3 linked regions of the Macaca mulatta genome follow. The protein of the gene in region 1 interacts with the protein of each later gene in a pairwise test. Links are inferred from orthologs where the notes say so. Each region holds a gene or a part of one and is shown on either strand. Other genes may lie near its edges. The genes, in order: OPRM1, GJA4 and VAPA.

The links.
Region 2: the proteins of OPRM1 (region 1) and GJA4 interact in binary tests that used the Homo sapiens proteins (3 or more experiments, as listed by UniProt). The link is inferred for Macaca mulatta from reciprocal best matches to the Homo sapiens genes OPRM1 and GJA4.
Region 3: the proteins of OPRM1 (region 1) and VAPA interact in binary tests that used the Homo sapiens proteins (3 or more experiments, as listed by UniProt). The link is inferred for Macaca mulatta from reciprocal best matches to the Homo sapiens genes OPRM1 and VAPA.

Annotation. Positions count from the first base shown.
Region 1 is NC_133409.1:72,905,487-72,909,192, forward strand, and holds part of OPRM1 (mu-type opioid receptor), read left to right. Parts: intron 1-2,754; coding exon 2,755-3,107; intron 3,108-3,706. UniProt on the Homo sapiens protein: Receptor for endogenous opioids such as beta-endorphin and endomorphin. Receptor for natural and synthetic opioids including morphine, heroin, DAMGO, fentanyl, etorphine, buprenorphin and methadone.
Region 2 is NC_133406.1:206,049,908-206,054,391, reverse strand, and holds the start of GJA4 (gap junction alpha-4 protein), read left to right. Parts: upstream 1-1,648; 5' UTR 1,649-1,750; intron 1,751-1,845; exon of another isoform or gene 1,846-2,012; intron 2,013-3,140; 5' UTR 3,141-3,157; coding exon 3,158-4,159; 3' UTR 4,160-4,484. UniProt on the Homo sapiens protein: One gap junction consists of a cluster of closely packed pairs of transmembrane channels, the connexons, through which materials of low MW diffuse from one cell to a neighboring cell.
Region 3 is NC_133423.1:80,910,689-80,914,394, reverse strand, and holds part of VAPA (vesicle-associated membrane protein-associated protein A), read right to left. Parts: intron 2,089-3,706; coding exon 1,915-2,088; intron 1-1,914. UniProt on the Homo sapiens protein: Endoplasmic reticulum (ER)-anchored protein that mediates the formation of contact sites between the ER and endosomes via interaction with FFAT motif-containing proteins such as STARD3 or WDR44.

The sequences.
Region 1 (3,706 bases):
CCTTTTTCTTTAAAATCCATTCAGAGAGTGAAACTTCTAAAGCAAGTCAAGAAAAAAAAAAAAAAGCCCTGAAAATGTGGAGCTTTTCTGGCAGTAATGCAACTTCTGCAAGTATTGCAGACCGGATCAGGTATCAGAATTTTAAAGCTTCAGTAACAAAGCCACCCTATTGACCCTGAGGAGATTTATGAAATCACTTTCCTGATGTTATTGAAACCAGAACACTTTCCTGTACACAGAATTCAGTCCGAAAGAAAGGGCCTCCAACCAACAGCCGTCTTGGACTGAATGAGTTAGACTCAACCTCGTGTGATGGAAAAATAGTAAACACAGCTAACATTTAAAAGGAATTGATGGCACCATGTAAATCAGAAGCCCAAGAAGGGCCTGGCTTGAGGTATGGGGTTCTCTCTCATTCTCTCAAATCCACATCCTCTGGATTAGGTCCATTTTCAGACAAGCTCCTCCAGCAACTACATACCATACATCTTCTCAGGTGTGGGTCCTGCAGGAAAACTACTACACTCTTTCTCCGTAAGTCTCAAAATAAACTCTCACTGGCTCTGGTTGGAACATGAGACCATCCTTGCCATTCACCATAGCCCCAGTCACTGAACATCTTCACGCCCTGGACTAATAATAGAGCCCATCACAAAGCACCTGGACTGAGAATGGGAAATGAGTGGTTCCCAGAGTGAAACTGAGGTACTATTACTAAATGAAGGTAAATATATGTGGAATCTTAAAAAAAAAAAAATTGATGTCCAATATTTGCAAGGTATACTTCTGCCATCAGATATAATATATTATTGCAAGTGTACCTGCTTATCCATTCTACTATCATATTTCTAATTTCTGCAGGCCTTGAAAGCATATGACACTTCTAGATACTTATCCAGGAGAAAGAAAAGCATATAAAGACTTGCACAAGAATGATTATAAACAGTTTATTTGTAACATCCAAAAGTTATATGCAACTCAGTTCCCATTGATAGGTGAATGGATTAAAAAACAGAAGAGTGGATAAGTAATACTACTTGCCAATAAAAAGGAATTATTTCTTGTTATATGCAACAACATGGATGAATCTCAAAATAATTACACTGAGTGAAAGAAGCAGCACAAAAAAAGAGTACATACTGAATGATTCTGTTTGCATCTTCTAGGAAATGCAAACTAATCTACAAGAACAGAAAGAAAACCAAGATTGGCAATTGCCTAAGGAACAGTGAGGGTGGGATATGAGGACAGGGAGGGGCAAAAAGGAAAGATTAAAGAGCTACACAAAGACACTTTTGGGGGCAATTGATGTCATTGTCTTGATCAGGAGTTGACTTTTTTTCTGTAAAGTGCAAGATAGTAAGTAACTTAGGCTTTGCATGTGATCTGATCTCTGTTGCAATTATTGAACTCTGCCATTGTAGCATCAAAACACTCATGGGTTTTTAAATGGGTGTATCCGTGTTCCAATAAAACTATTTATAAAAACAGGCAGTGGCCCAGTTGGATCTACACACCATAGTTTGCCAATCTCTGATCTTAATTATGGTGGTGGTTTCACAGGTGTACACATGTATCAAAGCTCATCAAGTTGTACACTTTAATTATGTGTTATTTAATGTAGGTCAGTTCTACCTCAATAAAGCATTAAAAAATAAAAACAAAGCAAACACACTTGGGTTCCTCATCATGGATTGGATACAGTCTAATTTTCTTACCATGACATACAAGTTCTTCAGGTACTGGCCTCTCTTTTTCCCCAGTCAGATCCGTTGCTATTCCCTGGTAGAATGTGCTTGACACACACCTCAGGTCACTCCAACTCTACACCTTTGTTGGGGTTCTCTCTGTTACCTCTCTGTCTAGAATGACCTGCTCCTACCAAGTGTCTAACTCAATCATCCTACTTGTACTTCGAGATTAAATTTGCACTTCCAGGATGACTTCCACATCTTACTCCTGCTATTCCCTTTGCCTTATGCTCTGTGAGTTGCCTCATCTCTGTGCTTCATAATATCCTGTGTGTTTGTATGTGCATGTGTTCGTGTACATACTATCTACAGACGTGCACAATTATAATTCTTGATAATTTTAACTATATTTATATAGCTAAAATTTTCTCTTTTATATTTACAATTACTATCCAGTCACTGCCTCTACTACTTGACTGGAATCTCCCTCTTTCTATTGGACCTATCACAATGACTGACACAATACCAAAAAACAAAAAACCTCACTGTGTGCTCATGCCTGTAATCCCAACATTTTGGGAGGCTGAGGAGAGAGGATTGATTGAGCCCAGGAGTTCAAGACCAGCCTGAGCAACATGTTAAGACCCTATCCCTACAACAGTTTTTTTAAATTAACAGGGTATGGTAGCATGCACCTCCCAGCTACTCAGGAGGCTGAGGCAAGAGGATCTCTTGAGCCCAGGAGGTTGAAGCTGTAGTGAGCCCTGTTCATACCTTTATATTCCAGCCTGGGTAACAGGGCAAGATCATATCTATAAAAAAAAAAAAAAAAAAAAAAAAAACCCTCAACAAAGCAGCATCATTGCTATTATTACAGCTATTCAGCCCATAGGCACATCATTGACATCATTGTAAATAGCCAAGCTAATACTGGAAAATAATTCTATATCGAATCTCAAAAAAGCTTTCTATTAATTCATGCAAATTTATTATTGGAAGCTTACCTGTATTTTACATGAGTGTCTTTTACTGACTCGGACACTCTTCTTCCTTTATCTCCTAGATACACCAAAATGAAGACTGCCACCAACATCTACATTTTCAACCTTGCTCTGGCAGATGCCTTAGTCACCAGTACCCTCCCCTTCCAGAGTGTGAATTACCTAATGGGAACATGGCCATTTGGAACCATCCTTTGCAAGATCGTGATCTCCATAGATTACTATAATATGTTCACCAGCATATTCACCCTCTGCACCATGAGTGTTGATCGATACATTGCAGTCTGCCACCCTGTCAAGGCCTTAGATTTCCGTACTCCCCGAAATGCCAAAATTATCAATGTCTGCAACTGGATCCTCTCTTCAGCCATTGGTCTTCCTGTAATGTTCATGGCTACAACAAAATACAGGCAAGGTGAGTGATGTTACCAGCCTGAGGGATGGAGGGTTCACAGCCTGATACGGTGATGTCATAAGCAAAGTAGTATTTATAGAGAGGTCCATCATCTTAGTCAAATTGTAATTTTAATTATTCTTTCTAGTAAAAAAAAATGCCTTTGAATACTTTAAAATTGGAATTTTCCTCATAATTTTAGGCCTATTAAACCCTTTAAAGTGAATATAATCTATTTATTTCTGATTTCTCTGTATTTACTTCATAAAAATGGTGTGTAAATTAGAATATAGCTCTCCCAAGAGTAATTGGAGCTTAAACCCAAAGAGTATTACACTGAGGCTTGTTGAAAATTTTCAAGTGGCTGATTACATGGCAAATTTGTCTTTCTACACCTAATATCAGAATATTGAACAATCTATCAAAAAATGAAGTGAAAACATCCATTACGTGGAGTCTCCTAGAGACTTTGGACAATTATTACATTTTTTATATCAATGTAGACCTCATGGAGGATCTAGCTCATGTTGAGACGTTCATTTTAGTTCCCTTAATGAAACCTTAATGTGATCAAAGTGGACTGCAAATGAGAAATTTAGGAAAAAAAACAAAAAACATTA
Region 2 (4,484 bases), on another chromosome or scaffold:
GAGCCGAGTTATTCAAACCTCTAAAGCCCTTGAGGAAGGAGTCAGAGCAGGGTGAGGGCAGCCTTGACGTCACTCCCGGCCCTCCACTGGTTCTTCCCTCCTTCCCAGTAGACGGAATCAGAAAGGCTTTGGGAGAGCTGGGCCCAGCCCCAAGAGAGGAAAACTTGGGAGTGAGCAGAGGCTGCAGTGGGGGCGTGGTGAGAACCAGCCTCCAGGGGCCTCGGTTCTCATGCCCTCAAGGGTCAGAACTAAGTGGGGCAGTTGTTAGCTTCAGAGATCCAGGAGACTCAGTTCAGCCTGGCCCTGATGGAGAGACCTAGAGGGGAAGCCAGCTCAGCCAGATCACCCAGGGCAGCTAGCCCTGAAGTTCTCAGGTCTGTGTGTCCCCAAAGATGTCCTCCTGCTGGTCCCGAAGACAGACCAGGGACCCAGCCCTGGGGCCCAGGGAATCCAAGGACTAAATCTTGCTGTGGAGGAAAAGGGACTTCTGTGTCATCAGCCCCAGGCCTCAACAGCCCCCTGCCAACTTCCCTTTCCTCAGCTGTGCCCGCCCCTACCACCGTCCAAGAACAACCCACAGACCCTTTTTGTTACAGTATCACAATGTTTTTAGCCACCACTCACTTGAAAAACTTTAGGTACCACTATTACACTATGTGCTTTGATCACACTGTATGCTGTCAACCCCACAAAGTAGGTATTATCACTATCCTCATTCTGCAGAGGAAGAAATTGAGGCACAGGGATTTGAGTAACTTGCCTAAGGGTGCAGGAGTCAACAGCAAAGTCTCAACTCTTAGGCTCAGCCACCAAGAAAGTCTCAGCACTCTGAGGGCGGTGTCCAGTCTCAGAACCCCACAGCTCCAGGCCCTCAAGCCACACTCATGCCGCCCCTCTACCTAGAATGTTCTTCCCCTCCACTTGGTTAATGGAGGGGGAAAAGCATTTCCTCTCCTCCAGGAAATGTTCCTAACCAAGTCCCCTGGGAATCACCCAGTACCTCCCAGGAGAACTTTCCACATTTATTATCTTACCGTTATCCAAGGGCTGATATGCTCAATCCCTGCACCAGCCAGTGAGGGAGGAGGCCAGATATCACGTTTGGCTGGTTCCTCGTGGTATCCCAGGTCCCCAAGCAGCGGCTGCAGAACAGCAGACACTCATTGATATTCATCCACCTGTGATGCCTGAATGCATGACAGCAGGCTCTGCATAGCCCTTTCACTCCTATGAATGTCCCCCGCACCACCCGGCCACCATTTAGAGGCATACCAATGGGTCCAAGCTAAAGGTCAGGTGGTTCCCCTACCCCCAGTCTCAAGGAGTCCATGGGACTCGCTTAATGGCCTCCGATTGTGTAGCCTGCCCAGGCATGGGGATGTTTGAGAATTCTGGAAGAACGTGGGCTGGGTGTGGGTAGAGACCCCAGCTCCACCACGTATGCGGGAAGCGTGGATTACAACCCCTGTCCCCCATTGGAGCTTCCCGCGCCGTAATTAGCCTTGAACGCCTCATCCTGGCACACTAGGGCCACCTAGCAAATGAGTGGTTCCCACACCCCGTCCCCATCCGCCCACCCCTCACAGCACCCCAGGCCAGTTGCCCAGATCAACAGCTCTTACTGCAACCCTTTCAAATCCAGATCCCCTAAGAGATCCTGGCCTGGGAGAACTCCTCTTCCCTGGCCAAAGAAACGACAGGAGAGTTTACCATCTGGAATACCTGGTGGAGAGAGAACAGGAGAGGAAGGGTAGGTCAGCCCCTCTTGCCCCTCCCCACCGCAAATCACAGGCCCACCTCCCCGGAGTGGGTTTAGGGAGTCTGCACCTCCCAGTCCCCGCCCCCGCCCTCTCTCCGGCCCCCGCCGCCCTCCCCGTCGCGTTTCCTGCCCCCACCCCGCCCCTCTGCGCTATTTAAGGCGCCCCCGCCGCCCGTGCGGTCCAGCAGGGCTCCCGCGGGCGTCGCTCCGGCCATCGTCCCCACCTCCACCTGGGCCACCCGGCAGGCAGGCGGTGAGTCGGGGGCTAGGAGGGGACCGGGGGTGCCACCTGCTCGCGGGAGGCCGGGCGGAGTCTTGGGTCCTCCGAGGCCGGGACGGGGGTTGCTGCGGAACGCCCGCCGCGACAGAGCCGCGCTCACCCAGGTGGCCTTGGCCAGGCTCCCACCCTCTTTCCATGGAATCCTTATAACAACCCGAGGCGGTAGGAATACTATTGTTTCCACTCTACCATGGAGGAGACTGAGGCGCCCAGAGGTTGTTCCTTATCCAAGGGGCCGCAGTTTCTAAAAGCCAAGATTTGAACCCAGGGCCACTTCCAGAGCCTGGCTCTAAACAGCTTTGCACTTGGGAAGAGGCACCTCCCTCTTGGGAACTTTGTGGCCTGTGCCTCACCCTGCAATAACAATTCCTTTCAAGAGTCTAGAATTTGCCAGCATCAGCTTTGGAGATGGAAGGGGGTGGGAGTGGAGGTGGACGAAGAAGACAGGACCAAGTGTCCCTCCTCAAGTGGCAGGTGGTCATTATTGCTGACCGGTGGAGCTAAAGGATGATGCTGCCTTCAGCTCCTAAAACCCCTCCCGCCTCCCAGCCCCTGCAGGCTCAAAGATTAGAGTGAAGCCAGCTGGGTAAGATATGAAGCAGGGAGCAGGGACCGGAGGCTTTGAGCCCCCTAAGAAGCAGAAGATAACACCTCTACCATCAGCACCAGCCCCCACTGTCTGGGGGCAGCCAGCCTTGGCTAAAAGGGAGGAAGGGCTTAGCCCAGCTGCACAACCTTGGATATATTCCTCAAATTCTGTTCCCACAGGCAAAGGAGCCTCAATTCCACCCAGATTTCCTTGGTCTGTGTCCATCCTAGGGCAGTGGCTTGGGGACAAGAGGGATATCGATGTCTGATTAGGCAGGGACCTTAGCCAAAGCAGAATGAGACCATACAAAGAGGTTGACAGCCATCATCCAAAGATCTGCTTTGGGTCCTGCCTGCACTGCTGAGTGGGAGCCTCCAGGCCAGTCCTTCCCCTTCCTGAGCCTGGGTTTCTATGTAGGTAGAACGGGCATGGCAGACCTCCCTGCAGGCTTGTTGCTGGGCGAACGAGAAGGATGCCATGCTAACATGCTGATGTGCTCTGTCTCCTTGCAGACGGAGGCCCGGGAGCCATGGGTGACTGGGGCTTCCTGGAGAAGCTGCTGGACCAGGTCCAGGAGCACTCGACCGTGGTGGGCAAGATCTGGCTGACGGTGCTCTTCATCTTCCGCATCCTCATCCTGGGCCTAGCCGGCGAGTCAGTGTGGGGTGACGAGCAGTCAGATTTCGAGTGTAACACGGCCCAGCCAGGCTGCACCAACGTCTGCTATGACCAGGCCTTCCCCATCTCCCACATCCGCTACTGGGTGCTGCAGTTCCTCTTCGTCAGCACGCCCACCCTGGTCTACCTGGGCCATGTCATTTACCTGTCTCGGCGAGAAGAGCGGCTACGGCAGAAGGAGGGGGAGCTGCGGGCACTGCCAGCCAAGGACCCACAGGTGGAGCGGGCACTGGCGGCCGTAGAGCGTCAGATGGCCAAGATCTCGGTGGCGGAAGATGGTCGCCTGCGCATCCGCGGAGCGCTGATGGGCACCTATGTGGCCAGCGTGCTCTGCAAGAGCGTGCTAGAGGCAGGCTTCCTCTATGGCCAGTGGCGCCTGTACGGCTGGACCATGGAGCCCGTGTTTGTGTGCCAGCGAGCACCCTGCCCCTACCTCGTGGACTGCTTTGTCTCTCGCCCCACGGAGAAAACCATCTTCATCATCTTCATGTTGGTGGTTGGACTCATCTCCCTGGTGCTTAACCTGCTGGAGTTGGTGCACCTGCTGTGTCGCTGCCTCAGCCGGGGAATGAGGGCACGGCAGGGCCAAGACGCACCCCCGACCCAGGGTACCTCCTCAGACCCTTACACGGACCAGGTCTTCTTCTACCTCCCCATGGGCCAGGGCCCCTCATCCCCGCCATGCCCCACCTACAATGGGCTCTCATCCAGCGAGCAGAACTGGGCCAACCTGACCACGGAGGAGAGGCTGGCTTCTTCCAGGCCCCCTCTCTTCCTGGACCCACCCCCTCAGAATGACCGAAAATCCCCCAGTCGCCCCAGCAGCTCTGCTTCTAAGAAGCAGTATGTATAGAGGCCTGGGGCTTATGTCACCCAACAGAGGGGTCCTGAGAAGTCTGGCTGCCTGGGATGCCCCCTGCCCCCTCCTGGAAGGCTCTGCAGAGATGACTGGGCTGGGGAAGCAGATGCTTGCTGGCCATGGAGCCTCATTGCAAGTTGTTCTTGAACACCTGAGGCCTTCCTGGTGCCACCAGGCACTATGGCTTCCTCTCCAGAACGTGGCTTTGCCTGAGCACAGACAGAGTCAGCATGGGATGCTCTGGCCTTTCGCAGCTGATCCAGAGGGACCCAGAGCCAACTTACCCCAACCTCACCCTATGGAACAGTTGCCTGTGTGC
Region 3 (3,706 bases), on another chromosome or scaffold:
TTCTCCTGCCTCAGCCTCCCAAGTAGCTGGGATTGCAGGCACCCGCCACCACACCCAGATAATTTTTGTATTTTTAATAGAGACAGGGGTTTCACCACGTTGGCCAGGCTGGTTTCGAACTCCTGACCTCAGGTGATCCACACACCTCGGCCTCCCAAAGTGCTGGGATTACAGGTGTGAGCCACCGTGCCCAGCACAGCTTTTTTGTTTTACTTTTCCAACAGCAGAATCATCTCTCAAATAAAATCTCATACAGAACATTAGCATACAAAGAGCAGAAACCAGGAATAAAGTCTCTCTCACTTCCCTGGTTCATTCTTCCTATTTTCCAGACCTGCCCCACCTGTCACTCCTACTGTTTACACTCTCCCCTCCATGCCAGAGGTAAACAGTGGCTTTTGAAAGAAATCTATTGAGCACCCTAAGGAGCACATCTTTATCAAAGAACAGAACTATGGAAGTCATGGCAGATCAAGTAAAAGTAACCAACAAAATCCTTTAAAAGATCCATGGTGTGTAGGTGTGAAATAAAGATATTCTTCCCGCTATCCAGACAAGCACTTGGAAGCAGAGGGGTACCCCTCAAGGGGGTACTATGAAGTATCAAACATGAAGAGACACAAAAATTCACTTTAAAAAGCATTTCAGCAAAGGAGTTCACAGATCGACTTAAGATACAGTGTTCAGAGTGCAGTTCCTATATACACCTAACAAAAGGAATAATCAAATAACTCCCATCATTTAGCTTATTTTAGTTACATATATTTTTGTATCATCTACGTTGCTGCAAAGAGCTTCAGACAAAGCCTAAAGAGCAACATATAGGAATTCAGGTCTTGAAACAATTACTTGTCAATGACAAGTATTATTCATAAATTTCACACATATTCAAATCGGTCCTCCTTCACCATCCATTTATTCAATCAAATATATGACTACTACACACATGTACGGCGAATGCAAAGAGAAATGAAACACTGCCCCTGTCCCCAAGGAAATTACTGCCCACTAGAGGGAGAAAGGCCTCTAACAAGTAAGAGCAGTAGAATGCAATCGGCATAGTGGTGGCACAAAGCAGACAGGACAAATCGATTTTTTTTTCTTTTGGAGAGGGTCCCAGCAAACGCTATACTGAAAAATCAACAAGAATATAGTAGCAAGACATTAATATGTGTATGTGCTGTGTCGGGAGGGACAGGGTTCTGAGCCTTTCCAGTCACAGTGAAGAGCTGATACTAAAGCGAAAGAGGGGTGATAAACAGATGCTTCTCCAGCATACTCCAGCCCAACGCTGCCCCACGCCAATATGTGAGCTTCAAATGTGACCCCATATGTAACGTTAAATTTTCCAATAGTACATTTAAAAAGTAAAAAGAAATGTGTAAAATTCATTTTAATAATATATTCAATTCAACCCAATATACCCAAACTACTATTTCAGTATGTAACCATTAAAAAAAGAAAAATTTACCTTTTTCTGTACTAACTCTTCAACATCAGTATTTTACACTCAACAGCACAGCTCAATTTGAACAAATCCCATTTCAAGCGCTCAACAGTCCTAGGTGACTAATGGCTATGATGTGGGACAACACAATCCTAGTTCAGTGTGACTGGGGCACAAAATGGGAAGGACAGGAGAAACAAGAGCTGAAGCTGGCAATGCTGCAGGCCAGATCACAAATGATTAGAATGTGTGCTAAGGTAAGGAACCTGTGGCAATGAGAAACCACAGGAAGACTTTTAAGAGAGGAGTAGGGTGGGGAGCAAAGGTCAGGACATAATCAAATTGGGGAAAACAAGAAAGAACTGACCAAGGATAAATTTAAAAACTAATTGCTAAAATGGCCTAATAACACTCACATGTCCTATACCTTCATTTAAATCAACTTATTTTCAACCAACAGAACTTACTCTCAGGTGTCGATTTTCTTCTGACAGCTTCATCATTTCTCCCTGAAGTCTTTTACACTCTTCCATTAGTTTCCTTGTTTCAGTATCATTAAGTGAAACACTGTGTGGTTTTGGCATAGGTCCATCTTGTTTAGATGCATTCAGTGGAACGGTTTTGCTAGGTTCCATGTCATTCTGTATTACAAAGATATTGAGATTTTTTTTACCAAATCTTCTTACAGGTTTTAAACAAACAAAAACATAAATTCTACATCTTTGTTTATGAAAAACTCTTTAAAAGGCCTAAATCAGTACATGCCAGCAGTCAGATTAGTCTAAATAACGAGCCCACTCCCTCTATTCCCATAACCGCTGGCATGTACGTCTACCATAGCACTTTATTATGTATCTTAATAATTATTGTTCAAGTTCTTTCCTATAACACTTCAAAGGCTGGGAAAGCAAGAGCCATCTCTCTTTGTATTTACCCCTAAAACCAGCACTTTGGTCAAGAGTAGTTATTCAATCCAAGTATGCTGAATGACTGACGTCAACAAAATCCAAATACGAAGGTCATTTTCCATGCTCTGGTTCTGCAATTCAAATAAGGTTCTGGGGCGTAGGGGGATATTATTGCAATCATTCCAATAAAATTAGAAACTACCTAAGAAAAAACATGCCAAAAAAGCTAACTTCTATTATCATCTTAGTAATGCTGTTTGCTTTAATCCACGTGATTCAACATCACAGTAAAAATTAGCATGCTCTGAAGACTATGAGCCCCAAAATCTTAATCCTAACCAACACTGAACCATTTGAAGTTAGTGTTGAAGGCCTGGAGATAAATATCTATGACAGCATCTACATATTCTTCAGCCTGTGGTCTGAAGTACCCCAACATCCTTCACTCTAACAGCATTTATGTCACTACACATAGTAGCAGTATTAGAGTAACAAGTTTTTTCATTTTAATTAAATTTTTACTTGCTTTAAAATAATTTTAGAAAAAATCTGCTTTTTCAGCTATAAACTGCTAACAAAGACATTTACAAAATCAACTTTATGGCATTCCACAATACTCATTTTATAAGATTTATCAGAGGCTGCACACCTACCACACCATCCCAGCTGCCAAATTTATATTAAGTATAAACAGATTGTTTGCTCAAAGGGCAAAACTTGTTCTTCTTATGAAGGGGATGTGATTTGATTACTATGCCTAAATCCATGTAAAATCTATTTAAAAATGAAAATTTATAATGAGGTTCTAATCAACAACAGTATGTATTTGACCTGTCGGCAGATTCTTCCATTTTTCTTCAAGCTTCCCAGTTAAGAAAGGTTTAAATTAAAGAAGCATACTTCAATTCTTTCTCTGAGTTTTTCTCTTGCCAGCTTTTTTGTTCTTCACCCCAATCTCTTCCACCCCAATCTAATAATAGCCACCTCTACTATTAAAACACTGCTTCAGATATATCTTACCCTGCCAATACATTTTCCTATTATTTTCCTTAATAGTAGTTAGAACTCATTTCAAAATGATTTTCAGTGTAGTCAAATTCTATCCTAACACAAATCCAACTTCTGATAATGAAGTTGGCACACTGACTTCCTTTATAAAGGAGGTGGCAATGGCCACCAATATGGCAACAGAAGAACTTCTAGGTTTCAGTTAAGAATTGGGAAAAAGTATCATACCCATACCAGAAAACTGACGAAAAACTTAAGAGGATGAAGCAGGGTACCATGTCTCATGCCTGTAATCCCAAAACTTTGGGAAGCCAAGATAGGTGGCCTGCTTGAGCCCAGGAAT